Linked DNA regions of Alligator mississippiensis. The protein of the gene in region 2 purifies or fractionates together with the protein of the main gene of each other region. This does not show direct contact. Links are inferred from orthologs where the notes say so. Each region holds a gene or a part of one and is shown on either strand. Other genes may lie near its edges.

The links.
Region 1: the proteins of FBL (region 2) and DDX24 purify together in Homo sapiens (affinity purification with mass spectrometry; 3 studies listed by BioGRID and IntAct, with this or other methods). This does not show direct contact. The link is inferred for Alligator mississippiensis from reciprocal best matches to the Homo sapiens genes FBL and DDX24.
Region 3: the proteins of FBL (region 2) and RRP9 purify together in Homo sapiens (affinity purification with mass spectrometry; 3 studies listed by BioGRID and IntAct, counting the BioPlex papers as one, with this or other methods). This does not show direct contact. The link is inferred for Alligator mississippiensis from reciprocal best matches to the Homo sapiens genes FBL and RRP9.
Region 4: the proteins of FBL (region 2) and DCAF13 purify together in Homo sapiens (affinity purification with western blotting; 3 studies listed by BioGRID, with this or other methods). This does not show direct contact. The link is inferred for Alligator mississippiensis from reciprocal best matches to the Homo sapiens genes FBL and DCAF13.

What each region holds. Positions count from the first base shown.
Region 1 is NC_081825.1:277,182,188-277,190,022, forward strand, and holds the start of DDX24 (ATP-dependent RNA helicase DDX24), read right to left. Parts: upstream 3,015-7,835; 5' UTR 2,928-3,014; intron 2,783-2,927; exon of another isoform or gene 2,689-2,782; intron 2,193-2,688; 5' UTR 2,105-2,192; coding exon 2,087-2,104; intron 1,233-2,086; coding exon 530-1,232; intron 1-529. UniProt on the Homo sapiens protein: ATP-dependent RNA helicase that plays a role in various aspects of RNA metabolism including pre-mRNA splicing and is thereby involved in different biological processes such as cell cycle regulation or innate immunity.
Region 2 is NC_081838.1:29,164,498-29,171,696, forward strand, and holds the start of FBL (rRNA 2'-O-methyltransferase fibrillarin), read right to left. Parts: upstream 3,009-7,199; 5' UTR 2,993-3,008; coding exon 2,911-2,992; intron 2,439-2,910; coding exon 2,304-2,438; intron 1,977-2,303; coding exon 1,836-1,976; intron 1,697-1,835; coding exon 1,602-1,696; intron 1,227-1,601; coding exon 1,056-1,226; intron 955-1,055; coding exon 822-954; intron 127-821; coding exon 14-126; intron 1-13.
Region 3 is NC_081835.1:46,777,672-46,785,128, forward strand, and holds the start of RRP9 (U3 small nucleolar RNA-interacting protein 2), read right to left. Parts: upstream 3,006-7,457; 5' UTR 2,968-3,005; coding exon 2,878-2,967; intron 2,791-2,877; coding exon 2,705-2,790; intron 2,057-2,704; coding exon 1,938-2,056; intron 1-1,937. Other genes in the region: protein mono-ADP-ribosyltransferase PARP3, read left to right, coding at 6,576-6,611. UniProt on the Homo sapiens protein: Component of a nucleolar small nuclear ribonucleoprotein particle (snoRNP) thought to participate in the processing and modification of pre-ribosomal RNA (pre-rRNA).
Region 4 is NC_081826.1:36,562,362-36,569,304, forward strand, and holds the start of DCAF13 (DDB1- and CUL4-associated factor 13), read right to left. Parts: upstream 3,003-6,943; 5' UTR 2,943-3,002; coding exon 2,873-2,942; intron 1-2,872. Other genes in the region: SLC25A32 (mitochondrial folate transporter/carrier), read left to right, coding at 3,095-3,272, 4,996-5,146, 6,218-6,303. UniProt on the Homo sapiens protein: Part of the small subunit (SSU) processome, first precursor of the small eukaryotic ribosomal subunit.

The DNA.
Region 1 (7,835 bases), on a different chromosome or scaffold from region 2:
TGGTAGACTGGGGACAGACTAAGGAACACAGGGGCAGATAGGACAAGGAGCAGAAAATAGGGCAAAAAATTGGGCAGGGGGAGGCAACTAGAGTGGTACCTCAGGGAGGGTGTAGGGCTTAACTTGTGGCATACCAGTGAAAGAGATTGGCCCTCACTTCCTTAAGTGGATCTGCAAAGCCAGCAAAGGAGCCTCAGGCTCTGACAGATCTCTGATTTTGAGGTAATGGGAGCTCTGACCTAGTTTTAAAAAAGTGCATCAAATATAATTTGATTCCCCAGACAAAATTATGTGGAGGATTTAAAGCTTTGTACATGTGAATGTCCTAGTATGCAAAACAAATGCAGTATATTTCATCTGTAAAGTAAAATCTTCTGTATTGCAGCCATTCCCTTCCTAGTTCACTGGATGGACTGTAACTTACAGGTTCTTATCCTGTGATTACAATTATGACAATACACTGCATTTTTGAGAGAGAGAGAAAGGTGACAGTGAATGTACTTAATGTTCTAGCTGTGTGCATTTGTACCTGTTTCTGCAGCGCCCAGAATATCCATATGATCTCGAATTGCAGAAGGCAGAGCTAATGCCTGAATAGGAGTTGGAGCACTAAATCCGAGAGAACTCAAGGCCTGAAGAACTGGTTTTGGAACAAAGAGGTCTTTCCATGCAGACACATCAGCTGTTTGATCAGATGATGCAGATAAAACCTGAGTTGTCCAATTTGTAAGCTTCTTAGAAGATTTTGCTGGGGGAGGATCTTGCTGGGGTAGAGATGCTTTCTTTTTTTTCTTCTTCAAAGTTTTTTCTGTGCTTAAAGCAGCTTCAGCTTTGTTTTCATTTTCCTCAGAATCAGTCAATGTGACGGTATCTTTAGGTTCATCTTCTTGATCAGTGAGTACGTCATTTCTCTCCTCAGAATGATCATTTTTATTTGTTCTAGTTCCCAAACCTTTGCCTTTCTTTCTCTTTTTTTTTTGGATGGTAGAATCCTCTTCTTCGGAGACACTATCAGATTTTCTCTTCTTGCCTTTTTCTTTTCCAGATTTAGAGGAATTCATTAACTTATAATCTGTAAGCTCCTCAAAGCACACCAGATCTCCAAGCTGCTCATCAGCAAATAGATTTGGGTCGATTTCGACAGGTTTCCATTTTCCTACTACTTTGATACCCCTTTGTTTTGATTTAAAGGAAGCTCTAAACTTATTTCCCTTTTTTGTCTTCATCATGATCTAAAACAATTGAAAAAGAAATCATTGTAAAAATCAGCAGAACAAGGTATCTAGATTCATATAACATATAGCATAAACACTGCACTGCAGATGGTGCATAATGCCATCTATGTGTAAAGCTAATGGGACACAAGTCTTAACTAGAGTTTTCTCTGAAGTTTAGTCTATGGGCTTGGTCCTGCTCCCACTGACTAGGCCCTCTTTGTTTTGAATCTGCACATTTAAGAACAACTGCGACTCCAAACGCACGCATGCAATTTGACAAACAATCTTTAATTACTCATTTATCAGCCTCTTGCTGAAAATGACACTGGAAACCTCTGCAGTAAAGAAACCCTGATGACAAACCATCGCATAGCTCTGTTGTGCGTTTTGTTAACCATGACCCTTTAGCACTTTGTGCTGAAAGGTCTTTTGGCGGGAGCATGGGAAGGAAACCTTGGATTTACAGCTTTATACTGGGCTCTTATGTGGGCTCTGTACACTCTCCAATGGCCAGTCCAATCCCCTTACTCTGCTTCATCTCCTGCTCTGCTGTCTTCTTCCTGCCCTATCTGCCGTGGTGTTATCTGTCCCCTCTCTGATCTGTCATGGCCCACACAGAGGCTGCCTATGCCAACTGTAGCACTGGAGCTCCAGGCTGGCTAATGCTAAACACACTGGCCAGCTCAACTCCCAAAATGACATATGTAACATGGTGAAAGAATAGCCAGGAGACATGCACAAATAAAAACAGGGCAGTACACATGCCCATGAAAAGCAGTGATTTGCTGCATCAATCTGCAGCAATTAAGCATTAAACATGGAGGAAGGGACCAAGAAAGAAATTACTACTCAAAATGGTAACTGGGTACATGCTCTTTACAACTCATCTCCCACTGACTGCAATGAGATGGACGAGTCTTCAGCCAGGTTGAAAGTTACTGTTAGCACTGGTATCCAAGTTGTAGGTGCATTGGTCTAAAGGAAAAAGCAATTAGGACTTGTAATAGAGATGATATCTTTTAGGAGACCAACAAAAAAATCTGAGCTTCCACAGAAGAGACCTAAGTAACCAGGCAAGGCCGACTCTAAACCAGCAGCTTTTTAAGCTCCAGTTTCCCCTCCTTACACTCATCCCCTTGGTAACCGCCAGCTCTCAGTTTTGCAGTGTTGCCAACTCTCATGATTGTTGTTGTTCTTAAAGTCTACGCTTTGGGAATGTGAAAAACTCATCTCTTTCACACACACTATACAAATCATACACAAATATAGATAAAAGAAAGAGCTAAATTTTTCACATTCCCAAAGCGTAAACTCATAAGAGTTGACAACAGTGGTTTCGACTTGGTTTTTTCTAGTATGCAAAGCTAACAGACCCAATCTTCTGCCACAAAAAACACAAACTAACAACGTAGTGAACACTCCGCTTCCTGCGGCAGTCTCTGCGCTTGTTCTGCGAACCACGTTTGCAAACCTTAGAGCTGCTCTCAGGGGCACCTCGAGAGGCCGCCGCGGGCCAGGCTGCTCGGGGCCGCTGGTGCCAAGCGGCTGCGGCCGGGCCCTGCGCCCCCCGCCTGGCCCAGGCTCCGGTACCTCCGCCTGCGCTCGCAGCCGCCCGCCCGCCCCGCTGTCCTGCCCTCGGAGCGGGACCCCGCGCCTTCCCTGGCCCAGCCGCCGGGCCGGGCCTCCCCTCTTCCCGCGCCCTGCGCTCACCGCTGCCTCCGCCGGCGCCTACCACGTGGCCGCAGGGCTGGAGGCTGCCATCACTGTCGTGACATCACATCCGGCCTCGGGGTGAGAGGGACCGGAAGCTTGACGGGGGGGCGGTGGGGGGTTCGGGCCGTGCTCGTGCGGTCGGCGTTGTCCCTCGCGCGGTAATGACTGTCTTTGTATCATCTTTTCAACCCGTGCACGATAGTTAATATTAAAAGGTGTCGAAACTCATGGAAGAGGTGATATCGTTTATTAGATCAACTAGCTCTTTGCAAACAAACGACTGCATTTATCTGCAAGCTTTCGGGCACGCTCACCCGTTCCCATGCACAGGGCAGGAGAGAGCAGAGAGTGGCGAAGTTCTAGGTAGAAATGGAAATTCATATTTCTCAGGAGAGCTGAAGGTGTGGTGGAGTCTCCTGCTTGGAAAAGTTCACCTTGTACAGGCGATGCACAGGGAAAAGTTGAAACAGTCTTTTCACCTCAAAGCTGCCTGGTGCAAGCTGGATGTAGAGGCATGTTTGCTTCAGGTTATGTGTTTGATAGTTCACAGGAGAATGGAAAGCTCTTCTAGGCAGGAGTTTAAGTGGCGAGGTATTAGTGTTCCTGTGCTCTGGGAGACGCAAATTTGCTCGAACAATGGTAGGAGCCTCCTGTTAAAAATTCAGGTGATAAAATGCATCCTACTTGTAAAATTATGAACTTTTCATTAAAAAAAATAAATGATGAAGGGTGGGTGTGCCCAAAAGCTTTCAGATAAATACAATACTTTGTTTGCAAGTGTCTAGTTGGTCTGATAAAAATATAACTTCCCAAGCTTCAGTTCCTTTTGCCTCTAGACCAATATGACTACAACCTGCATGTCGGATAACTTTTGAGGCGATTAATTGATGCAGCATATGCAAAACCCAAGTCGCTCTCAGACTCTTAACCAACTTTCAGGTTTGGTTTTGTTTTTTGCAAAAATGCTGAGAGAGAGAGAGAGAAACAGTGCCTGTAGCAAACCAAAACACACTTTGAAAGTTGAACAGAGTTCACACCATGTACCCACACACCCATCACCATTCCAGTTTTTGGGACTTTTTTCACTGCTTGCCTTGAAATAAATACTTCTGCTTTGATGACCCAGTTCTCACCTCGCTGGCTAGTTACAGTGAGCAATATAAAGTAAATAAGACTTATTTACATACTTATCTACATTTTTTTCAGGGTATGATGGTTTTTCAGAAGATACAATAGTTTTGAGCTTCCAATATGATAATTTCGTATTTAAGTCCTGGCAATGCTGTGTGGGATCAAGGCTTGGCAGGTTCTCTTCAGTCGCAAGGGCGGAGCATGGGAAGGAGCCGCTTAGTTACAGCAGGTGCCTGGGGCCTGGGTGCTGTGGGACTGGAGTAACAGCACCATGCAGAGGGGCCGGAAGGGCCCTGTGGAAGGTGTCTAGTGCAACCGGCTGTCTGAGGCAGGAGCTTAATCAAGTGCAAGGCAGAACCAGCCCTGGGGAAAGAGGTGGGGGCTTGCTCTCACCAGCTCTAGATCTATAGCCTGACCCTAAGCTTATGCAACAATAATACAAACACAAATAGGAGGGATAATGATATATATTATTAACAACCATCAACAATCAGCACTATTGGGAACAGCATCCCAATCAGCACTGTGTCCCAACACTGTTCCCAATCAGCACTCAATACCACTATAACAACAAAGCAGAACAGCAACAATATCAACAAAGTCCAACAGTGAGGGCACTGGAGAGCAATCCTGCTCAATCTCTCTCTCAACAACATGAACAATCTTAATAACACCTATTCCGTAATGTAGTCCCTGACCTATGGCAAGAGATAGTCCTCCTTCCAATGGGGTCCCTTGGGGGGGGGGTGTCCAGGAAGCACCAGGGGCCCCTCCCCTTAGGGCCTTGACTAGCTGGGGGACTACTCACCCAGCCCCTTCTATGGGTTTGCCTGCCCCAAATGTCTTTCCCTTGTGGGACCCAAGGGCCCAATGACTCACGCTCCCTCAGGTGGTGGTGGTCGGCACAGGTTGATAGGGTCTCCTCTGCTGAAGCGCCTCTCCTGCACTGCTGGGCTCCTCCCTACCCTGTGCCCCGCTCTGGGCACCGAGGGCTCAGCTCCTCTCAGCTGCTGCACTACCACTGCTGGCTCCTGGGTGCTGGGTCTTACGCTACAGCACTACCATTTCCCCGTGCCCTGGCTCAGTACTGAGGGCTCTCTTAGCATAGGCCAGGCCCTTCAGGCTCCGTCCGTCCCTCCTCACATTAGGTGGCTAACCCAAGCAGCCTCTGCTTCTCCCAAGGCTCAGGCCCATGTGCTGCCCTGTGCACCATGGGACCTGGCTGCTTGTCAGGAGATGGGGCCTGAGCCACCTCACTGCAGCCCCAAGGCCTTTGCCCCGTGCACTGCCCTGTGCACTGCATAGCCCGCTGGCCCTGCCAGGGATGCAGGCTTGAGCTGCCACTTGAGGATCCCAAAGCCTGGGCTCCGTGCACCAAACCACACACCGTGATGGGCCCGAGCAGTCTCATACCGCTCCTGGGGCCAGGTCTTCCCACACTGTCCTCGCACACCATCAACAGCCTGAGCAGTCTCGCACTGCTCCCAAGGCTGCTTCTCCAGTGGCGGCTTCAGGAGCCTTGGGCCTATTGCCTGCTGGGGGAGAGCTCCCCCAGCTTTCCTTGGCTCTACTCTTCTTGAGTCCCTCACTACATCTGCCAGTCGTGGTGGGCATGCAGCTCCTTTTATACACTCCAGAGCTCCACCCCAAAGTCTTCCAGACCTGGCAGTTTACAGTCTTTTATCAAGTCTGGGAGAGCTCCTCTCCCCCTCCCCTCAGGAAAGGGGCATGACTTTATTTATCCTGATGCCTCCTGATCGGTGGATGGGCTCTACCAATCAAAACAGGATCTTAAGCCTGGGACTAAACCCAAGCTCTGAAAGGTGAGCCTGCTACAAAAGCTAAATAAGAAGCCTGAAAAAGACACATTTTTCCAACCTAGTGCAGTCTGTATCTTTTGTGCATTCATATGCACCTAAACAATAACTTAGGGTTGGGGTGCTGAACCCCTGGTCAGCAGGCCAAATCTGCCCACAAAACTGAGTCATCCGACTTGCAGCTGTCTACATGGGTCCTAAAATTTTGTGGTGGGGGAGTAGTGGCAGCATTAATTGCCCCTTCCCTGCTGCCACTTTTCTAGACCCACAGGCTAGACAGTGTGATCCTGTAGGCTAGATCAGGTGCGTGGGGCCAGTCCAGGTATGCAGGGCTGGGGCTATGCAGGGCCCAATCCTGGGGCCCAGGGGCTGGCCAGAGGCAGCATGGGGGTCAAGTGGAGGTGGTGTCAGGCCCGGTCTTGGCTCATGGGTTGGCAAGGCGGTGCAGGGCTCATCCATGTGCACAGGGACTGGCCAAAGGCAGTGTGGGGCCTGATCCAGCAGCATAAGGCAAAAGAGAGACCTGCAGGCCTGGAGCAGTGCAGAGCCTCATCTGGCAGCATGGGACAAAAGCAGAGGCACACTGGGCCTGATCTTCCAGCACAGGGCCAGAGTGGTGTAGGACCAAATCCTGGTGTCCAGGACCTGATTGGGCTCATGGAGCGACCCTGCACCACTCATCCCTCCCAGAGAATCAAAAGGTTGAGAACACCACTGACTCAGGGGATATGATGCAAAACTTGTGTAACGCAGGCAGTACTTCAAGACATACCCCCTTTCCAATTGAAGGGATCACAGCTGGTGCATGAGAGCTGTGTGAGGTATAGGGACCCTCCTTCCCCTATACAGCAGAGCCAGATCACCAGTGGGGACGTTACCATATACCTTTTAATGAGAAAAACAGTAGTGGGAACATAATATATATATAAACCAGGGGGTATAGGGAACAGTACAATGTCCCGAGGGGGCAGGTTCAATAAAGGTTAGGCATTTACATTCATAGACATATTCATCCAGTTGGCAAAAGACAGGTTTAACAAAGTATAAAACACAAACAGCACAACAAACAATACTGGTTGGCAAAATATAAAATGCACAAAATACAAAACACCAAATAACAAGAGATATAGGGCATAGGTAGCTGGAGGGGTGAAAAGAGGGATAAATACAATGACCCCCTTCCACTGTGACAAGAATTTCTCCCCTGTCACTTCACTCATCCCTACTTGACCCAGCTAGGACATGAACTTAGACATCCTACATGGTAGGTAGAAACGCTACCACACAGCCACCAGTGCTAAGACAGCTTCAAGCTGCTAGGGGTTTTGACCTTCCAGGAGCCCCTACCTCATGTCAAGCTGCCCTGCCTCTCGCTGGAGGATCTGGAAGCAGAGCTATGAACCTCTCGGGTCACTGCTCAGCTTCTTGCTGGAGCTGGGGAACCTCTCCTGCTGGCTGCAGCCTCTCATAGGGGGATCCTGGAGCCCAGCAGGGAGCCTCTCCTGCTGGCTGCACGTCACACTGCCTAGGGTCCAACTGCTGCCTGCAGGTCCCACTCCTTCAGGTTTTTCTGGGGCAACTGCTCCTGCTCCCCTGGGCCAGCTCTTTGAAACTCCCTCCTTGTGGTCCCTCACTGGTCTCCCTGAGTCAGCTGCGCTGCCCCTTTTATCCCCCTCCAGGTGACCCGAGGTGCCAGTCAGGGGACATGGAGGAGGAGTCTTGAGCTTGATTGGTGAGGAAAGGGAATCCCAAGCCCTCCAATCATCCCTTTCAAAACCCCTGGGCCAAATAACTACCAGCTAGCCCATCACACTTGCCACACAGAGAAGAGAACAATACATTTTTATTTATATCTGTTTATCTACAGCAAAGATTTTGTTTTGTAAAAAAATGTTCAAAGTCCACCTAGTAGATGTATAAAAAAATCTTCCATGCAATATGAATAAGACATTCATAA
Region 2 (7,199 bases):
GCATGCTCATTACCTTGATGGAGATAACAAAGTGGCCGCCGTTCTTCAGGAAGTTGTGCGCGTTGAGGGCGACAATACGGGACTGGTCAGGCTGCGCCACATCGGCAAAGATCACATCCACCATGCCTGGAGGGGGGGCATGGTTGTGAGTCATGACCCAGAGATCAGGGGACGCTGTGATCCCCCAGCAAATCAACTACACCCCCCCCCAACTCCACCTGTCTTGTGATATCAGCACTGGGAAAGGAAACCCAGTTGTCAGGGGAGAGGCAGGTCCCTGAACAGCACGGGTAGGAAGACCCTGTGCACAGACGAGCCTCAGTAACAGCAGGAAAAACCCAGGAATTTGGAGCCCCCAGAGGAGCCCTGACAGGCCGACCCCAAGCCTGGCCAGGCCTCAACAGCGACTGCAGAGAATCCAGGCATCCAGGGGGGTCTTAGGAGCCCCGACTGGCAGATGCCATGCCCGACTGAACTTTAGCAGCAGGAGAGAATCCAGGAGTCTGGGGGCTCCCAGGGAGCCCCAATACAAAGACCCCGTGCCTGGTCAGGCTTCAGCAGTGGCTGCAGAGAACGCAAGTGTCCAGGGGGAGGTGGGGGAAGGGGGTCTCAAGGATCCCCAGTACAAAGACCCGAAGACCAGCTAGACTTTCACTACAGCAACAGAGGACTCTGGAGTCTGGGGGCTCCCAGGACACCCCTCTGCCCCGGGGAAAGCCAATGGCAGGGCCCCCCTGAGTGCAGCCGGACCCCAGGGGAGAACGACTGGCAGGGGGAGGTAGGAGGAGTCAAGGGGGGGAGGGGACCTAGGGGGGACTCACCAATCAGCATGCGGTATTTGTGGGGGTGCCGGGCATCCTCTATGACGGGGATGATGTTGGTGCGTTTCTTGGCCACGTTGATGAGGTCACGGCCGGAGCGGTGGGAGAACTCCACAGCGTAGACCAGGCCTTCCTGGGGGGGCGCATGGGGTTAAGCTGGAGGGGGGGGTAATCCCTTTTGCCCCCTCGCCTCCCCCCCCCCCCCCATCCAGGGTAGGGGGTCCCAGTACTTACGGGGCCCACAATGTCCGAGACATGGGAGACGGTGGTGCCTGAGGCAGCGCCCAGGTACAGCACACGGACGCCCGGCTTGATGTGGATCTGGTCGATGCCCCCCAGGATGGCGGCTGCCAGCTTGGAGCGGAAGGGGTTCCAGGCCCGGTACTCCACCTTGGCCTCGCCATCCTGCCCAGCGGTGGGAGAGGGAACAAATCAGGGCTGGGGGGGAGGGAGTCTGCTCAAACCTTTCCCCAACCCCTGGGGCCTTCTGAGGGCCCTTTCACCCCAGCTTGGACTCCTGGGTACCAAGATGCCTCCTGGATCGGCCCCTGGAAGTGGTGTGCCCAGTGCCCTCTGGGACCCAGTAGCCTAGCCTTTCTGCCCCCCACATAACCACTGGGGGCCCCCCTCCCAGAACCAGCCCCCTCGACACCACCATTCAAACCTCCCCCTACCCCAATGCCCCCATCCTGATCCCCATCCCCACCACATCCCTCTTGACACTCCCATCCAGACACCTCCACCCGCCTTTGATCCCCTTCCCCCCCAGGCTCTGCGTACCTCCACCGCAATCCTCTTCTCCCCATACACTGACTCGCCCGGCACCAGGTTCTTGGTCACGAGTGCATCTTCCTTGCCCCGGCAAATGAAGACCCCTAGAAGGGATTACGAATGGGGAGGGGGTCAGAGCCAGAATAGCACCCCCCCATGGTCCCACCCACCCCAGGCTCCAACCCAAGCCCCGCCAAGGTGTCCCTACCCCCCAGCGCCAGCCCCTGCCCCAGACTCCAGTACCTTCGTGCCTGTGGGGCTCCACTGTCACCTTCTTGCCCCCTCTGAAGCCCCCCCGGCCCCCACCCCGCCCCCCACCACGGCCGCCCCGGCCAGGCCCTCCTCTTCCTCGGCCGCCAACACCTCCTCGGCCAAAACTGCCACCTGGGAAAGAAAAGGGGGAGAAGGATGTGGTCCAGTGTGGGCAGGACCCTGCAGCAAGTAGGGGAGTGTGGACGGGGGAGTCTTTTGCGATAGTAAGGATAGTAAATGGGGTCCCAGCCTTTTGGGACAGGAAGTGGAGGGGCAGGGGGAGCCGTTTGGGACAGGAAGTGTGGGGTGGGGCCTGGCTAAGATGAAAACGAGAGGGGGCAGCAGAGTCCCACAGCAGGGCAACCCCTGAGCCTGGCCCTCTGCCCCAAAGCTTGATGGGACAGCTGACCAGATTCTCCCAGCACGAACCAGGAGTGGATGGGGGAGAATGTAACTCACCTCTGCCTCCCCGGAAGCCACCGCGTCCCCCTCCACGGTCCCCGAACCCGCCGCGTCCCCCTCCACGGTCCCCGAACCCGCCGCGTCCCCCTCCACGGTCCCCGAACCCGCCGCGTCCCCCACGGGGGCTGAAACCTGTGGGTGGAAAGGAGGGGGGGAGGTCAGACATGCCCCCCTCCCCCCCACCAAGTCCATCCCTCACGCAAGCCCCCCTCCCCAATGCTCCCCCCTCAACTCCTAGGTCCCCCCAATGTCACCTGCCCCACATGCCCCCAGCCCCTTTGACTTCCCAGACATATAAGGACCCCCCCAGTACCCCACCACCTCCAAGCCCCATCAACTATCCTTACTGGGGGGGAGGGGCTCAGCTGGGGGGTGTTATCCCCCCACACACCCTCAGTCTGCTGCCCACCCCAACCTGATCCAAGCCCCCCCCCCGGAACCCCGGAGTCCTGCCCCCAGTGAATAGGGGGCTCCGAGCTTGGGGGGGCTGCCCAGCTACAGTCCCCCCCCGCAAGGCTGAGAAGGCAGGCGTCCCGGGATCGCGTGGGGGGGCTCCCCCCCCGGCAGCAGCTGCAAGGACCCGCCCCCCCCGCCCCGCGCTCACCGGGCCTCATGCTCCCACGTGCGCTCCCCGGGGCCGGACCACGCTGGATTCGGTGCTGGCTGGCGCGGGGCGCGATGCGCATGCGCGGGCGCCCGGAGCGCCCACACCGGAAGTTGGCTTCGCGGCCCGCGGTGACGTCAGCGGAAAGACCAGAGGACGTGCTTGCGGGGCGGGGGAGGGGGGGCGATTTTTGTGGCGTCACATTTGTCTCTCTCTCTCCCTGTGACGTCAAGTAATTTGTCTTTGGACCGCTCTGGGGTGTGACGTGGTGCTAGACTGTGAGGTTAGCCTTCCCCGTGACGTCACAGGATGAAAGTTTTTCTCAACTTTAGATCTGTGCTGTCTGATGTCAGCTCTCTGGGGGAGGTCAGGTGTCTCCTGTGATGTCACAGGGTGAAAGGTGGCTGAGGGAAGGCAGTGTCATGCAAGGACGTCAGATCCGTGAGGTCAGCTCTCTGGGATGTCACATGATAGCTGATGTTTCTTGTGATGTCAGCTCTCTCTGTGATGTCATAGGACAAAAGTTCTGTCAGAAGAGGCAGCTTTCTCTGCAGTGTCCTGTGACATCACTTCTCTGGTGTCAGCTCTCTGGGATGTCCCACGATGTCAGGTGTCTCTTGTGATGTCACCTCTCCTTGTGATGTCATAGGATGAAAGAAAGGTCTCTTGGGGAAGGCCATTTTCTCCGCGGTGTCAGGTGGCGTCAGATCTGTTATGTCCTATGCCATCAGCTGTTGGGTATCACGTGACATCAAATATTTCTTGGGATATCAGCTCTCTCTGCGTTGCCATATGACATCAGTTCTGGGATGTCACACGGCATCGGGTCTCTGCTATGTCCCATGTACTCAGCTCTCAGCCCAATGTCAGATTCCCATATCAGCTGTGACATTGTGCCGTTCGCATGTGATGTCAGCCCTCTCTGTGACATCACATGGTGTCGGGTCTGTCCACTCTGCTTTCTGCTCCCCACCCTGTGCTCCCTACCCCTTCCACTGCTCCGTTTTCCGCTCCATGCCCTGTTCTCCCTTCCCCATCAGCTGCTCTGCTGTGTGCTTCCTGCCCTGTGCTCCCTGCCCCATCCACTGCTCTGCTTTCCACTCCCTGCCCTGCGCTCCCTGCTCCACGCGCTGCTCTACTTTCTGTTCCCTGCCCTACGCCCCCTGCCCCTTCCACTGCTCTGCTTTCTGCTCCCTGCCCTGTGCTCCCTACCCCATCGGCTGCTCTGCTTTCTGGTTGGATTCAAGGCAGTTACCACAACGTAGGAGTTGATGGCATTTGTCTACCGTGTAGTGAGCATGTTTGTTACTCCCCTGAAAGAGAATAGTTTTCTGATAGCATACTGTTAGGTTAGCAATAATTTAGATTATTAAGAAGTATTAGCTTTGCAGCTGAATATAAGGCATGACCTGTGGCCTAGCAATGCCGCTAACCACAAGGCAGAATGATAGCTAAGCCTTTACTTGTGTCAAGTAATCATTTTAACTGTGTTAAGCATTTTCTGAGTAAAATGCAGCAAGTGAATCTGTGTCTGTGCTGTAAAATCAGCTACAGCAAGGAACAAGATAAGACAAAAAAGTCATTGTTCTAAATACAGTGATCGTGTCCTTAAAAAGCATCTACCACTGCAAATTCTTGCTAACGTATCATAATGTTACTGTTACTTAACTTTTAGCTTTTAAAAAATGCTAGTTCAGCTTAATAAAAATATGCTGTTATAAAGATTTGTGAAGCACCACCCAAGTAAGTATTGCTTTTATTAACCCTGTAGTCTTGCCTTGTTATAAAAAGTATAAAAAATTGCCCCACCCTTTAGGGGGGGCCATTTTGCCTTTTGCTGGCTTTATGATCTTTGCTCGAACAAATAAATAGCTGTCAATTCTTTACCCGCGTTGTCTGATACCTATTACAGCTAAATAACAAACTTTAGGGAGTTTCCTCCCACCACATAAGCAAGGCAGGGTAGGGTTAAGGGATGAGATGTCATGTGTCCATACTTCTACACCACTACCGAGTCTGGGCAGCTCTTTGAATAGCTCCTGCTAAAGTGGAGCCCAGCCAAAGACTTGCAATGATTGGTCCAATATGCAGCAGAGCGCCAGGCCAAGAGTTGCATAATATAGCCAGGGAGAAAGTCCAGCTGTTGGCTTCTGTGATCCAAACATCATTGCTACATTCCCCAAAGGACCTTCCAGATCATCCGTTGAGACCCCCCCCCAGGCTTGAGCATACAAAATAATAACCTAAGCCTGATTCCCCTTTAATTAATTATCCAACAGCATGAGATCACTATTCCAGGGAAGAGTTCGGGATCCTCAAAGAGCAGTGCCCTCCGACTGACTGAAGAGAGTTCAGTTGAAATCTGAGAGCAGATTTAGGCTGGACATTAGAAAGAACTTCTTCACAGTTAGGGTTGCCAGAATCTGGAATGGGCTTCCAAGGGAGGTGGTGCTCTCCCCTATCTTCAAGAGGAGACTGGACATGCACCTAGTTGGGGTCGTCTGACCCCAGCGCTCTTTCCTGCCCAGGGCAGGGGGCTGGACTTGATGACCTACTGAGGTCCCTTCCAACCCTAACATCTATGAATCTATGAAACACTGACCCGGTCGATGCACTCGTTCAATGGTTCCCAACTTTCTTTAGACTCTAGGCCCTTCTCTGTTACCTCCAGGCTTCCTCGTTTGAAAGGTACCTCTCGTTAGACTCCAGGGCCCCCTTGGAAAAAGAAAGCTCTTCACTTTCACTCATTTCTAGACTATGAAGAAAATCCTAAAATGATTCTTCTGTTGCAGAATACTCAATGAACTCCCAGTTTCGCAACCAGGATAACTCTCGGGGCTTTGAGTGTATCCGGAGAAGTACAAGAAAATCCAAAGCAAGTTCCTCTGAACCGTGCACCGCTTTATTGGGATATTATCAATCTGGCAATGTGAGCAAGAGCAGCTCCATAAAGCAGAGAATACATGGACACACTTGCTGCCAGGTGGTGAGGCCTCAGGCCCTTCAGAATCCGTCCTTAGGGCACGTTCCAGACTCCCACCCCATCCACTCCACTTTGGTGTGGAGGAGTTTGATACAGTTCAGATTCAAATTTCTGTATTCACATGCTTTTCTGTGAGAGAACAATCTCCTGGGCAGTGGAGTAGAGACCTGGGAAACTGAGTCATGGCTCGGTTGTTCTTTCCTTCATAGCATTGGGTGTGATTGTTGGCTGGCATGTCTCAACTCCCTTGGTCACCAGCTGTCTTCTCTCACTTGCTGGTGGCTGGCATTCAGACTGAACTGCTCCTGGGATCAGGCTATCTGCAAGCAGGAATGTAGTGAGCCACTGACCACAGCAGAAAGGAGTGAGGGGTGGTTCAGGACCCCACAACGCTGGCAGAGGAGGGAGGGAAAAGAAACCTTCTGAGACAAAAGGACTGGATGGTGCTACTGTCTCACACCACAGAGAAGGGACAGAAAATAGAGAGAGAGGCAAAGAGTTAGGACAGAAAGCTAATGGCCTCCCGGGCTGCATTAGTAGGAGTGTGGCCAGTAGATTGATGGAAATGATTCTCCCCTTAATATATTCAGCACTGGTGAGGCCACATCTGCAGTCCCGTGTCTAATTTTGGGTCCCCCACTACAGAAAGGATGTGGACACATTGGAGAGAGTCCAGTGGAGAGCAACAAGAACGGTGAGGGGGCTGGGAGACATGATTTATGAGGAGAGGCTGAGGGAACTGAGCTTATTTAGTCTAGAGAAGAGAAGACTGAGTGGGGATTTGACAGCAGCCTTCAACTCCCTGAAGGGGGTTGTAAAGAGGATGGAGTTGGACTGTTCTCAGTGGGGGCAGACGACAGAATGAGGATCAATGGGCTCCAGTTGCAGAGAGGGAAGTTGAGGTTAGATATTAGGAAGAATGTTCTCACTAGGAGGGTGGTGAAGCACTGGAACAGGTTACCCAGAGAGGTGGTGGAGTTTCTATCCTTGGAGGTTTTGAAGACCCAGCTAGACAAGCCTTGGCTGGGATGATCTAGTTGGGGCTGGTCCTGCTTAAAGCAGGGGGTTGGACTCGATGTGACCTCCTGAGGTCCCTTCCAACCCTCATGTTCTATGATGCTATGACAGCTAACCCTGGACAAAGAGCCAGGACCCCTAGTTCTAGTGGGATCCTCCAGGATCTTCCCTCACTACACATTTGTTCAGAGTCCAGCATGGTGGGCTCTGATCCCAGCTGCACATGGGGCTGGTTCTGGCCCAGGGATCTGTACAGGGCCTGGTCAGGCCCCAATCCCAGCTAGGCCAG
Region 3 (7,457 bases), on a different chromosome or scaffold from region 2:
GTACCAAGGGCCGATTATTAGCCAGACATATTGGCCAATACCAATCTGATAGCTTATATGCAGCCCGGCAGCTTGGAAAGCAGCATCCAGCATACATGGGGGGGGGGGGGGGGGGGGGGGCGGCACCATGGCAGGGGCAGATGGAGGCCCACCCAGTGAAGGCAGGAAATGGGGCAGGGCACAGGACAGAGCTATGGGTGGCTTGTCAGAGGGGCACAGGAGTGGGTGTCTCCCCATTGCTGCGTGCATCCCTGGGGGGGCATGCCCCCCCCCCCCCAATTCGGGCACAGGGCAAAGGCAGGATGCCCACTGTGGGCTCAGGGCCAGGGGTTACATTGGCCTCTTCCCCAAGGGGGAGGGGGGCCAGGCAGTAGTGATTGGGAGGGGTGCGTTATGGTGAGTTTTGGGGTGGCTGTAGCCCACCCTGTAGCCCCCCCCTCCCAGCACCACCAATGCCTGCCCACCCCACCCTGAGCACAGCCCTGGCCCAGCCTCCTCACTGGGAAGAGGCCCTTGCTGTGGGTAGCCTGCCCTTGCTCTGTGCACATATTTTGGGGGGGAAGGGTACATGTTCCCCATGACTCTACCAGGGGTGCACACAGAAGCAGAGAGGTGCCCCACCGCCCCACCCCACAAACGAGCTGCCTGCAGCTCCTGCCCCACTCCCTCCCCTACCGTGGGGGCCTTGATCTGCACCCCCACCCATGCCCCTTCCCTCCTGCACAGACATATTGCCAGAAGCCTGCTCTCCAAGCTGCAAGGCTGTGTTCCTGGCCGCGTGCATGCTGCAACTGTGCATACATACAGGGCATTTAATCGGTGACATTATCAGCTATACCGGCCAAAAAAAGCCGATTGCCAATAACATCGATTTTCTTTTTAATCAATCCCAATCCGATATGCCACCAATATACCAGTGCACCTTTATTACAGGGTATGAGCCTTGTGTCCCCAGCTGATAGAGCTCTGTGTAAACCTCTCCAATGCAAACAGTTCCAAGCCCGTCTCTGATGGTTTAAAACCTTCTGCTTAGTTAGACTTCTACATTCTTGCAAGCAAACCATGCCACTAAACCCTGGACTCCAGAAGAGCCTACAAGACTGCAAGCTTTGGCCAGCTGCTGGTGTTGAAAGGGATTGTATTACATATGTGCACAGACTGCCGTTTTAAAACTGTCCGAATAGCTTTGTGCCTAGTACTTGGATTTTAAAGCTACCTGGTCAGTCTATTCACTGCTACTCAGACTCCCAAAGAGAAACCCACACATGCCAAATCACAGCCCAGACAGTCATGGCCGATGCGCAGGGTGCAGTAACCTAGGGTCTGGTCAGAGAGGGAGAACGAGGATGTAGTACTGGACAGAGAAGCACTCAGAAACTAGGAAAAGAAAGAGGTGCCTCCATGCCAGACTGTTCCAGGGAGAAATACTGACTGTTTTACAACAGGCTCCACATCATAGCTATGAAGAGCTTTCCCTTCAGATTCCTCAAGCACCGCACGCAGCACAACCGCTGTGATGTATAGAAACCAAGCCTTGCATTTTATACCTGTGTAACAACAGTGAAGTGCCATGTTCAGGAAAGTAAGCAAAGAAGGAAGTACCAAATACACAAGAGACCGTATCTTATTTCCTTTACATGATTAACAGTTTGAATTAACAAACTATGCTTTGCCATAGATTAATTTGGATCAAACAATTCAGACTGAGAAATCCTTGGGGAACACAGCCTCATCTTTGTATACCGACTGTTTCCAATAGAAAGTTTCATCAAGTTAGATCAGTCCAGCACAACATCTCCAAGTAGCACAGAAGACCACTTTCCCCATGTATAAGCCAAGGATGAGCCACAGCCAGACAGCGGCTCACTAAGCGCACTCTCCCCTAACACCCCCTACACCACCCATCCACATCGCCCCCCAGCTTATCAGGTGCTCACCCTGCTGACGAAGCTGTTCCAAGTACAGTTTGGCTAATCTCAGCTTCTTTTCCTGAGCTGTCTCCTCGATCTCCTCTTCCGCCTCATTGTCCCTCTTCCGCTTCCCAGATAACGCAGGGCTAGAAACAGCAGACAAGGAAAGGGGACAATTACACACAGGAATAATTTTCCCCTCTCTACTCATACTGACTGTACTCCAGACATGCTTTGCTACCTGATGCCCAGCCAAGAGGGACCTTCGAGCACAGAGCAGCTGTGTGAAGTATATAAATATCCCCATTGGCCTTTTTTAAAATGCAGGAAGAGGACATTTCTACCCAAGGTGTCATGTCAGCAGTTACAAACTGATGGGGGAAGCATTTCCACAGCACCCTGTGCTCAGGCCCAACATTGAAAGTCTCCTCCACCCCCTTCCACCCAGCAGGGCCCGCGAGAGCCCGGCCTGGAATCAAGCCCCGGCTGCAACCTCGACAGGGGAGGTAGCTGCTTCTCCAGGCTTCGCTAGCAGCCAGGACCGGGCTCGGGGCAGAGCCGCCCGCCCCTGCGCCTGGGGGCTTCTCACATCACGCTCCCGCCGGGGCGCAGAGAAGCCGGGCTGGAAGGGACCTGCGGAGCCCCTGCCCAAGGATGCAGCGTGTACCCTGGGCGGGGGAGAGGGACAAGAGCGCGGGCACGGCCCGGCCTGGGCCCCCTCTCTGGCGGCACCACCCGGGGGCCGCAGCGCTGCCCTGCCCTGCCCGCGGCAGCACGGGGACGCGCGGCGCTACCTCTCGACGTCCGAGTCGCTGGAGATCTCCTCGTTGAGCTTGGCAGCGGCGACCTTCTGCCGGGGCTTCTCCTCCGCGCCGGGGAGCTGCGGACCGAGCGCGGGGTCAGCGCGGTGCCGGGCAGGGCAGCCGCCCCCCGGGCCCCAGCCCCAGCCCGCCCAAGCCGGTCCTACCTTGCGCCGCTTGCGCCCGGCCCCGCCCGCGGCCGCGGCCACCGCCGCCGCCTCCTGCTGCTGCTGCTTCTTCCTGCCGGACGCCGCCATGCCGACCCCGGCCCCGCTCCAGCCCCGCTCACCCGCACGTGGCGCCCCGAGCCGCGGCCCCGCGCCCTCCCATTGGGCACAGCCCTCTCCGGCCCCGCCCCTCACCCCCTCGCCATTGGTTGGGACAGCTGCCGGGGGCGGGCGGTCTAGCCTCGTTCTCTGAGTTTCCTTTCCGGCCTCTCCTCCCTCCCCCATAGGATAGCGCTTCCTTTGGGCCACGCCTCCTCATATCCTATTGGCGGCCTGCGCTGTCCGTCCAAACCGTCTTTGCCATCAGAGAGACTCCCTCGAGGGGGGCGGGTTTTTTTCCGGCGCAGGTGCGCTGCGCTCTGTCGGGCTGCTGGTAAGTGCGTGCCGCGAGGGTGCAGGAGCCTGCGGCGGCCTGCAGGGGGCGGCGCGGCCTTGCTGTGGCAGCGGGGAGCAGTAGGGCCTGGGCCCAGGCAGGGGCAGCGAGACCTGGGCCTGGGGTGCGTAGTCCTGGCTGGAGGCGCAGGCCCGGCTCTGAGCAGTGGCTGGTGCCCAGTTTGGGAGTGATGCCCCTAGTCCCAGTTTGGTCGAGAAGCACCTGCTGCCCTGAGGGGCATCGTCTCACCTGGCACCTCAGCCAGCGATGCCGGGGAGGCGGGAGCACGGTGGGCGGCGCTGGCTGCTGGAGATAGCTGGAGCTGACCTGGGGCCGGGGGGGTTGATGTGAGCCATGCGTCCTGGCCCCATCAGAGTGCGAGTCCTGGCTGTTATCTTGGGCAGTGTGGTCGCGCTGGCTGGTGGAGGCTGCCTTGCCCGCGGCAGGGCCACAGATTAGCTCTGCACCCTCCTGTCCCCAGGTTGCTGCTCTGCTCCCTGCCCTCTCCAGAGGCAGTGCAGTAGTGCACTTGCACCCTTCCTTGATTCCTGCTCCAGCCAAATTGCAAACCAGCCGCCTCCATTTGAGCTGCCGTGAGAGCATCAGCTGAATTCATGGCTCATTAAAATCTACCTGCTTCCTTCTAAACTCTTCCTTGGGCATTGGGAACAAAGCCCTCTCCTTTTTGAGGGTCTTTCCTGTTCCACCAATCCAGCTAGCTCCTCTTCTGCGGTGCTGCTTCCTGTCAGCTGCTCCTGACAATGGAGATCTGCAGACAATGTGTAACCCATTCCAGTGAAGTTATATTTGTTTTTTTCTTTAATGTTAAACTGAATAATATATCCCTACGTCTCTAGTACATTAGTAAAGCGTCTTGTTTCTCTTTACCTGGAGAAAACTTAAGTACTGCTTTATATGGAAGAACTCCCCACACTGTCTGCACCCCTGTTTTTAAAATCCTAGCTCCACTCATGTCTGTCCCCTCCCTGATCTCCCTTTTACCGCACAGAAGGGCTGTCTGTGCTATTAATGACTCGTATGTTGCAGGTTGGCCACCCCTGCCATAAATGATTGTCCACTTTGGTGGACAAGACCTCCACCATATCCCTCACAGACTAAGGACAGTCATTAAATGTTAGTGGGCAGCCTGGTTTTGAGGCAAGCGATCATCAGCCTGTTAACCAGTTGAACTCTGCTAAATGGAGCCATTTGCCTGTCGGCTTTTAACTAACTAGAAGACTGTTCAGGCAAATGAAAATAGACTTTAGTGCAGGCCCAATAAGTCTTTTTAACAGAAAGATGTATAGGAAGGTATACTGCATATGCTTCTTTACCCAGCTTTTTTCAGTTCTCCGTTTTGTCCGAGGTCAGAATAGAGGGCTAACGGCTACATTTATTTCAAAAGACAGTCTCCAACTGGAGTGTTTGAAGGTCTAATTTTTATATTCTCAGCTAAAGGACTATACATTTTAAAAAACTTACTTTGTTCCCAATGCCCCTGAGAGCAATTTCAAACCAGTTCCTCAGCAGTCATTGCAAGGTGTAAATTAGCCAAGATTTAGCACTGAGAAATGTAACAGAGGAGCCTCCTTATATTTGGTCTTGCCATTAATTGGATCTTCCTAGACTAGGTGGTGCTCAGTAGTCCATAAATTAACTTCTTCCCTTGCCAATGCACTTTAAACAGTTCATACGAACAAGGTTAAAAAAAAGCTGATGAGCACTCTGGTTCTTTTGGCCTGCCTTGGAGGTTTTTTGGGAACTTCTGTTAAGTTTTATCATACACATATGGTTAAAATATGGCACCACATAGATTTGCATAATTCGCTAAATGTTATTAGCATGCTTACAACTGAAATGGAACATATCTGCTTTATGTACTACTTTGTAGCAGTTATAGAGATGGAAAAAACTGGGGCCTGGGGGGGAACTGAGGCCTAGGCAAACTGTTTTGCCCAGGTCTGTATAAAGGGGCTGGGATGTGGAGCAGTGGAAAATAAAAGCTGAACAAAAGAGCCAGGGGTTAGAGGGGAGGCATGTAAATGGAGGGGAGCTTCCCACAGGAAGCAATATGCAAGAGAGGGGCAGAAGTGAGTGTATTTTATAGCAGGGTCCTGGTTTGGTAGGAATCAAGGTCAGAGTTGGCAAGTTGAGTGAGAAAGACTCCATGGTCCAGACTTACCTCAAAGTCTTTCTAATATTCAGGCCTTTTACTCTGTTCAGTTAAATGTCATTACTGGCTTAACTGGACATGCTGATTGCTTCCTTTGCTGACCAAGTTAGTTGTTATGTTTGCATAGGTTTGTTCTATGGTCATGCAGAAATAGGCCTCAGGGCCTTCTGCTTCAGCCACACTTCTCCAGCTTGGCCTTGGAGTCAAGGCTGGAAACAGGTTATGCATGTTCTTCCCATTAAAAGGTAAAGCCCCTCTCTCAGAAGAGGAACTGGATGCCATCTTGTTAAGCTAGGGCCACAGAGAACCAGAGAGTGAGAGGCTGAAAGGCGGGGGTCTTGGAGTGGGAAGTTGACTCCTCCTCAGTTGTTCTCAAAGCCACACCTGGTCTGGCTTCAGGGGTTGTTCTCAGAGACTAGGCAAGGCTGCACTGGTCCTGAGCAAGCATCCCCCTGCATAGGGTCTCTGTGACACTGCACCACAAGTTGGCCTACAGCAGTGCCAGGGCTCTGTTTGGATTGGAAGCTTAGAGCACGCAGGAAATTCAGCAGTGGCAATGGCATGCCCCGCCTACAAGAGGGGATGAGTGAGATTTTGCCACAGAGCTGCCTGCAGATGTCTGGTTCCTTGTGCTGTAGGCACTAGAGGGCATTGTTCTCCCTTTGTTGAGCACGTGGACCTCAGCCCCGGCAGCTGCACCTGTTAAGTTATGAAATGGGATTCAGGACTATTCAGAATGCAACTGTTCACGGTTAAATGAACCTTAAAAAAAAGCAAAGTCCAGTATATTTAGCTGTAAAAGTGTTAGTATCTCACCAGTACAGCCAAAGAGGCGGTCTCAGTCTTGTCAGCTTCTCAAGGCATTGATCTGTTCACCAGATCAGCTGGGCATGGTAGCAGTTCTTGTCAGAATGATTTCTCATTCTTGAAGTGTGGCCTGTTAGCTGTTTTGTTCCTCTTTTATACCCTTTAGCTCAGCATCTTCAAAGCATTCTTGTAGTTGTGTCAATCAAGGGAGACAGATTTTTGGAGCCAATACCAATAGCTGATTTTTAAGGAGACCTGCTGGTCCATACTGATCTGATTTCCGAAATGCAGCCTGGCAGCTTGAAGAACAGTGTCCTGCTGGTAAGTCTGTTGTGGTGGAAGGGGAGGGGGAAGGGAAGGCGTATGGAGGGGCAGATCAAGGCCCCCGCAGTGAGGGCGGGTTTGGGGCTGGGGCAAGTGCTGCCCAACTGGGGCAGAGTGGGGCTCAGGACTAAGCTGCGGCTCATCCAGGAGGTGCGGGGGGGTGGGCAGCTCCCACCACTGTGCACATCCCAAGAGGGCATGGGGGGTGTACCTCCTGGATCTATGTGGGGCAAGGGCAAGGGCTGCTGCGGGCTGGGGCTGGGGCTGGCTGTGCTTGGGGCGGGTGGCAGCAGTGCTGGGAAGGGTCTACGGGGGTGGGGGAGGTGCTGCAGCCATGCCAAAATTCGCCATACCCTCCCCCCCAACCTCCTTCCCTGTACCACTGCTGCCTGCCCCAGTACAGCTCAGCCCAGTCCCCTCCAGGAAGAGCCTGGCATAGCCCCTGGCCCCAGCCTGCAGGAGCAGCCTGGCCTGGCCTTCCCCATGTGCAGATCCGTGGGGCACCCCCCCCCCCCCCCCATGCCCTCCTGGGGTGCTTGCAGTGGCAGGAGCCACCCCCCTGGCACCCCCTGTACAAGCCACAGCTTCATCCCATGCCCTGCCCTGCCCTGCCACAGCCCCTGCGTCACTCCCTCCCTCACCACAGGAGTCTCAATCTGCTGCCCCCCCCCCCAACCCTTCCCTTCCCCGTCCTCTTGCACTACAACAGACTTACCGGCTGGACACTGCTCTTCAAGCTGCTGGGTTGCATATCGGAAATCAGATTGGTATCAGCCGATATGCCTCCTTAAAAATCAGCTATTGGTATCTGCCCAAAAAAATCTCTATTGGTGTACCCCTAAT
Region 4 (6,943 bases), on a different chromosome or scaffold from region 2:
GCTGTTGCTGCTTACCCAGAGCTCACGCATGCCCTATACCACTCCATTCTGCCACCCAGCTTCATATTGGCGCTGCGTGGTTCTGGCACTGCGACCACTAGCAGCCAGACCCACACAGAATGAGGAGTGATGCAGCACACCAAGTAGCCATCCCACCTGCCCGCCACAATAAGCTGCTGCCACTACAGTGCCACTAGGAGGTGAGGCCGTGCTGGCCATAGACGAAGGGCTGGGGGGACTCAGTCTGGCGCAGCTGCCCCTGACTTTCCTAGTTTGAGGTAGCAGCAGCAGCAGCTCATCACAGTGAACAGGGAGGCGGGTAGGACAGCCACTCAGCGCACTGTGTTGCACCCTGTCCTGTGCTGGTGGCCACTGTGCCAGGACTACACAGCACCAACAGGTAGGTGGGCAGGAGGGGAAGGGGAGGGGAAATGGATGCAGGAAGACAAAGGAGTTGGCATGCTGCATGGTCCAGTCCAGCCCAGCCCACCCTTCCCATGCTCCTGGTGGCAGCCAATGGGCTGGAAAGGATCATTTGGCATCTTCCCACCCCTCCCCCCAGCCCTCAAGAGCTCATCAAAACTTATGTGGCCCTCCAACCCAAATAATTGTCCACCCCTGTGTCAGGACAATCTGGTGTGCAGTGGCACATCATCTAGCTCTTGGGGCTGCCCATGAGTCAGGACATCTGGTAGCAGGGGAGTGGTAATGAACACTGCCACCACTCGCCCTCCACCAAAGTTCTGGACCCTCGGGGATCCCTGCCCGCCAAATGATACAGCTATGTGGGCTGCTGGTTAAGCCCCCTGATGACAACTACCAGGGAACTGAAAATTAAAAGGATCCTTCCTTCATCAAACAGCAAGCTCACAAGACCCAAAACAAAACCAATATTAAAAGGTTTTCCAATACTGATAGTTTGTTATAATTATTTCTGCTTTCTGTGTTCTGTGCTGGATATAAAGACAAAAATCACATGAGTAAAGAATTCACTTCAGTGCTATCTACAGCACCTAAATGAAGAAACACAAAGATGACAAATGAGTACAGGAAGAAGCAAAAAATGTCTTTAAAAACCGTAAAATCCCTACCATTTAGCTTATTTGTCAGGGTTCAATATACAGATGAGGTTACTGACTTCCTACAATGCAAGGCATAACAAAGTCACTTAAACAGTTTGTGAAGACAGAGTTGAGACTGGTGCTACACAACAGGGTATGTCTTCTAAAACCCACGCATATGCATCAGAAAACTAACGTGCTCAGCCAGGATCTCCCCAGAGAATGAGAAGCAAGCAAATATTAAGAAAAAGCACATATCTTAAGCATACAAAAACTAAGTAGTATACTTTATGGTGCTACTTTACATACAACTGCATAATTTTAACTTAGCCCTTGCAATGAGTAGATGCAGTCTGAAATTCTTATGAGACATTCCTTAAAATTAGGTCAAAGGTATTTTGATTTATCAGAACCAAGAAGCCAGGAGGTCTATTCCCATCTGTTTCAACAAGAGACAATAATTTTCTCCATTACCTTGAAATTTAAGTGATTCATTATTCCCTCATGTGACACACAGGACAACCAAGAAATAGAAAGCATGAGATCATTTCTGGAAGAGCTGGGAAAATTTACATACCAGAACTCATCCACTATATGGCAATCACAACGCTTCTAAAAAACAGGACAGAACTGTGAGACCATTCCTTTGTGTCAGGAAAGGAATTTGGCTTGACCTGAACTCTTACACTTTTCTTTCCCTCCTTCCTCCCTTCCTTTTCTGCCCTGTCTTCCTGATTTCCAGCTATTTACTTTTTTCACAGACAGCCTCTCTTCTTCCTTGAAAATTTACTACTGTACAGTCTCCATTACTCAAGTACCCCCCTTTCCCTGCTCTACCTTTTTGTCTTCCTAATTTCCAGCTATTTACAGTCTCACTGACATCCTGTCACACTCTTAGCTTCTCTTAGCACACTTAGCAGCAGAGACTCCCTATGCCTGAAGAAGGGTGATTGTGCCCAAAAGCTTGCAAATAACTTTTTTCCATCTACTCAGTTGGTTTAATAAAAGATATCACATCTACGCAAAGAACCTATCTTAATTTGACATATGGCACTTCATAATGACAGACGAGATCCACAGAAGAACAAGCTCTATGCAAGTGCAAAGCAACATGGGAAAACAGAACGCAGTTACTCAAAACTGTACACCGTGGCAGCCAAAATAGTATACAGAATATTAAGCGTAGATACTCAAAACCATGGTTAGCAAGGGAAACCTGTACACATCCACACATACGTTATATGTATATGTATGTACCTAGCAGGAGTTTCAGGACACAAGTCTCTTTATATACAGCCACGCCTTGACGTCATAGTTAAAATGCAACTAAGTGAAAGGATGTTAAGCAAATCCAATTACATCACAATAGTTACCTACTAGCAGGTGGCGGCCAAACAACGCTATAACTGAATGATGCACGAGTTTAAATGAGTGCGCTCTCCAGCAGATCAGCGATGTAATAATGAAACAATGTAACTGGGATGACGTTAAGGGAGAAGTACTATAATACACACACACATATATATATATATATATATATATATACATATACATATACACACACACACACAAATATACATGTGTGTGTAGGTATAGATGTGTGGGTGTCTATGTGTACATCACACACACGTGTACGCACACACAACCCGAAGCAGAGGCAGGTGAGGTGCGAGTCTCTCCCGCTTCTGCTCTGCTCTGCTCCAGCCTCACTCCCGGCCGCGGCCCCGGCCCCGGCAGTCCGCGCGCGGTCGCGGCCAGGCCGTGGCGGGGCGGGGCGGGGCAGGCAGGGGGCGACCCCGCCGGGCGCTCACCGCGCTGCAGGTCGAGCTTGGTCTCGCGCACGTAGTCGTCCGGGTTCCGGCTCAGCACCTTCACCCGCATCCTCGCCCGAGAGCACGCAGCCCCGGCCCGCCACTCTTCCGGAGCGCAGGACCCACGTGACCGGAAGCCGGCGCAGACCCGCGGCGGGCGGAAGAAGCCGCTTGGGACGTTCCTCTTCCGCTTCCGGGGCGCGGGCTGCGGGCAGCGGCGCTATGAGCGCGGTGGCAGAGGCGGAGGGGCCGCGGGGCTCTACGTGCGCGGTGTCCGCCCCGCCCGCGCAGTCCCCGCTGCGGCACGTGCGCTACGAGAGCCTGGTGGCGGGGCTCAGCGGCGGCGTCGTCTCCACGCTCGTGCTGCACCCGCTTGACCTGGTCAAGATCCGCTTCGCCGGTGAGCCCCGGCCGCGCCTCCTAACCCACCCTCTTCTCTCTGCGGGGCCGGGGCCGGGCCGTGTCGTGTCCCCTTCCCCTGCAAAGCCACTCGGGGCTGGCCCGTCCCCCCACCACGCCAGCTGGCCCGGCCCACGGGCAGCCCGGGCACGGCCCGCCACGCACACGGGTGCAGCGTCACGGCCGTCGGTCGGTAGCTCGGGGGCTGCGCTGTGGTCCAGTCGCTCGTGTGCACGTGTTGTAGTCCTGCCCCGTCGCCGTGGGTAGAGACAGCATCCTCACGGTTCAGGCCCTGCTGAACCTCCTCTTCCTTTTCCCTCTCGAGTCAGACCCGAGAAACTCCTGGTGTGGGATCACAAATGCTGTAGGCAGCAGTGTTAGCTCTTGTATCGTAGCAGCGAAAGCGAGTGCCACAGCTCAGGGTGCACCAGGATTTCTGTTCTCACTGAACCTTATTGGGCTGAAACTTTAAGGCTGCTTATACACATGTTGGGGGGGACACTTCAATTTGAGCAGCTCCAAGAACTGCTCTAATTAAAGCGCCCGGAGCATCTTGTGTATCAGCGTCCTCATGCTCCAAAACGGCGGCGGGGTGCTTTATGTAAAGCTCGTTCCACGCTATTTGGAGCATGGGGACGCTAATATATGAGACTGCTGGAGTGTGGTAATTGCCACTTTCCGGCAGACTTAATTAATCAAGCCAGCTCTGATGTGCTGGAATTGCAGCGTGGTGGCACAGCCTCCCTGCTCTGTAGGCGCCCTACGTGCCTGCCTCAGAAAACTTGGGTAAAGTAGTTCACATGAGCAATTGGTGCCTCCTGAGTCTGGGAGGGGGCACAATTTGTGGGCAGACCCATGGGCAGGCCCAGGGGGCGGGCCAAAAGTCCCTCGGGGGCCCCCCATTCGTCGTTGGTCCAGATTGGGCGGGGGGGGGGGGGCAGCACTCTGGTTGGCCGAGCAAGCGCTCTCTGACACTCCGGGCTCCTGGGCACTGTCGGGGGGGGGGGGGGACCCCCCCCCACACCAGTTACCTGTGGTAGTTCTCAAATAGGAGAAAAGTAGATGCATCTGTGGGGTGGGAAGGGGGCAGGATTTACTTTTTCCTGTTGAAGTAATTTGATGCATCTCTTTTCTTAAATCACGTGACCCAGTCAGTGGCAGTGGGAGGGGGGAAGACCACCTGAATGCACTTACAAACACTGACTTTGAACGTACTGGGTCATGATACTTTGAGAATTATACCTCCGACACATGGTGCATATAACTGGGGGTTTCCTGCAAAGAACAAAAAAAAAACGTTCTTTTGAAATAACATTTTTGTGGTCCCCCTGCAAAAAGATTAAAGGTTATAGGCTAGAGATTGCACAGAGCTGTGGGGCACTAAGAAAAGGAGGCAGTTTTAAGCCAATGCTGCTACTTGCCTGCAGTACACAGCAGTAGAGTTCATCTTGGATTGGTAGGAAAGGACTGCTTACCTGGAACAGGTCAGCCAGACTTCTCCTTCAACCCAGGGTAAGGCACTCTCCTAATGAGCTCTTAGACCATAACTCTCGTGTGCCTTCAGAATACAGCTAGTCAGGCTTGCTTATTCTCTGCGACTTTCCTCAACTCTGCATGTTATCTTCAAGATAAACAGGGAGGTGTATTTGCATCATAGTTTTATGCCACTTGGCTTCACTCTTTCTAGAACATTGTTTTTCCAGTGTAATCTCTCTTTTATTCAGTGAGTGACGGATTGGAATTTAGACCAAAGTACAATGGGATTCTGCACTGTTTGACCACGGTCTGGAAGCATGAAGGACTACGTGGCCTGTACCAGGGGGTTACTCCAAACATGTGGGGGGCAGGTGCTTCCTGGGGCCTGTACTTTTTCTTGTAAGTAGAACCATAAAACCTTTGATGTTTTATGCAAAGTGATTGTGGACTGTAGGTCGCACTTTCATTTTGAGGGAGGTAAAAAGATAAAAAATACATTTTATGAAAGATTCATGCAGCTTTACAAACTATATAATCTATAGGCAGAACTTTCAGAGGCACCTAAATCACTTCTGAACATTTTACCCTCAGTCATCACTTGCTGTTTCATATCTTATATGTAATATAAATTGCTGGGTAGAGCAGCGTGACACACTTGTAAAGCAAATGCCTGCACAAGTTGCTGCAGAAATGTTAACTAGCTGCACTGGTAGTTTGTATGGTTTCATCCACTAAGAATCTTGCCAGAAGCTGCGCTATATAAATAAACCTTGTGGGGGAAAAGAACTTAGCCTTAGCCTGATTTGGGGGAATTAATTTGGCTCCTGAAATGATTTAGTCTGCTAAAGTTGGAAGCATTTAGTACTTGGACAAATCTGTTTTTGCAAGTTAGCTTACTTTTTTGAGGTAATTGTTGTTTTTTCTTTTGGTCCTCAGGGTCTTTTCAATGTCATATCACTTGCATTTTATATTTACTAATATGTAAATTACTTAACTCAAGGGCAGCAGGAAATCAAAGAAACCAGTTACTTGTTTATATGAAGTTGTCCTACTGGTTTTCTAGTCCTCATTCTTTTCTGACTTTCACTTCTCATCTTACTGCATATTGCTCACCTCTCAATGGCTTACTTAACCCAGAGGACCAGTTCAGCAGATAAAGCTGATGACAGTATAGACTGCCTTTTCATAAAACCTTGCTGGGAGACATCTGTCTTGTTAGCATTTCATCCAAACTAATTCTTCAATTTTAAATGTGATGAGGCAGTCCTATTTTTTATCAACAGTAATATTTTATTACCCAGCTGTCTACCACAACTCTGTGCTTTAAGTAGCCTGAAACTAATTCAGTAATTTGTATTGCATCTGAGATTGTTCACCTCTGCCTCTGCTCTGTAAGGGCATTGCTTAATGTTGAATCTAAGTGATCTGGATTTTTCTCATCTCTACTTAAATTTGTTTCATTTCTTCCAGCTATAATGCCATCAAAGCCTACAAGAAGGAGGAGAAGCTAGAAAGTCTTAGTGCAACCGAACACCTAGTGTCAGCTGCAGAGGCTGGTGAGGAAAATGCAGATAAGATTGACATTTACCTCTAGCCTGTCCATACGCTGTTTTTTGTCTTTGTCTGTCAGTGCTGTTTTTTGTCCAGGTGGCAAGTATAAGCGTTTCGGTCCAGCTGCACTGGGTTAATGCATGTAAATAAATTAATGATGTTGGGTTGGCTGGCCGAACTCCTTGTGTGTGTTCACCAGTAGCAACAGTTAAAACTTTTTACAGCCCCATGCAAGAATGAGCTAATTTATATACATTAAAATTGCAGATTCCAGACCAAGCAGCTGTGCATAAAAAGCAGAACTGTTGTCAGTTTTTGCTATAATGTTAAAGTTTACCTTGAACACTTTCCCCTTAAAAAAGACAACCCAAGGCCTAATTCAGCACGCACTGAAATCCAGCATTGGAATGGAATGTCTTCAATAGGCACTGGACTAGACATGTAGCCTATCTAATATTGAAGAGGAATGTATGGTGCAGCACTACTTGGAGTGGTCTTCCAAAGCTCCTTAGACTGACCTCTCAAGTAGAGAAACTTGTACCATGCGTTAGGAATGAAAAATTGATAACCACAGACAAGAAATCAGATTTCTGTATTTTGTTGATAGCCATGTATTAAACTAGGATGTAAACCTCAAATTACATG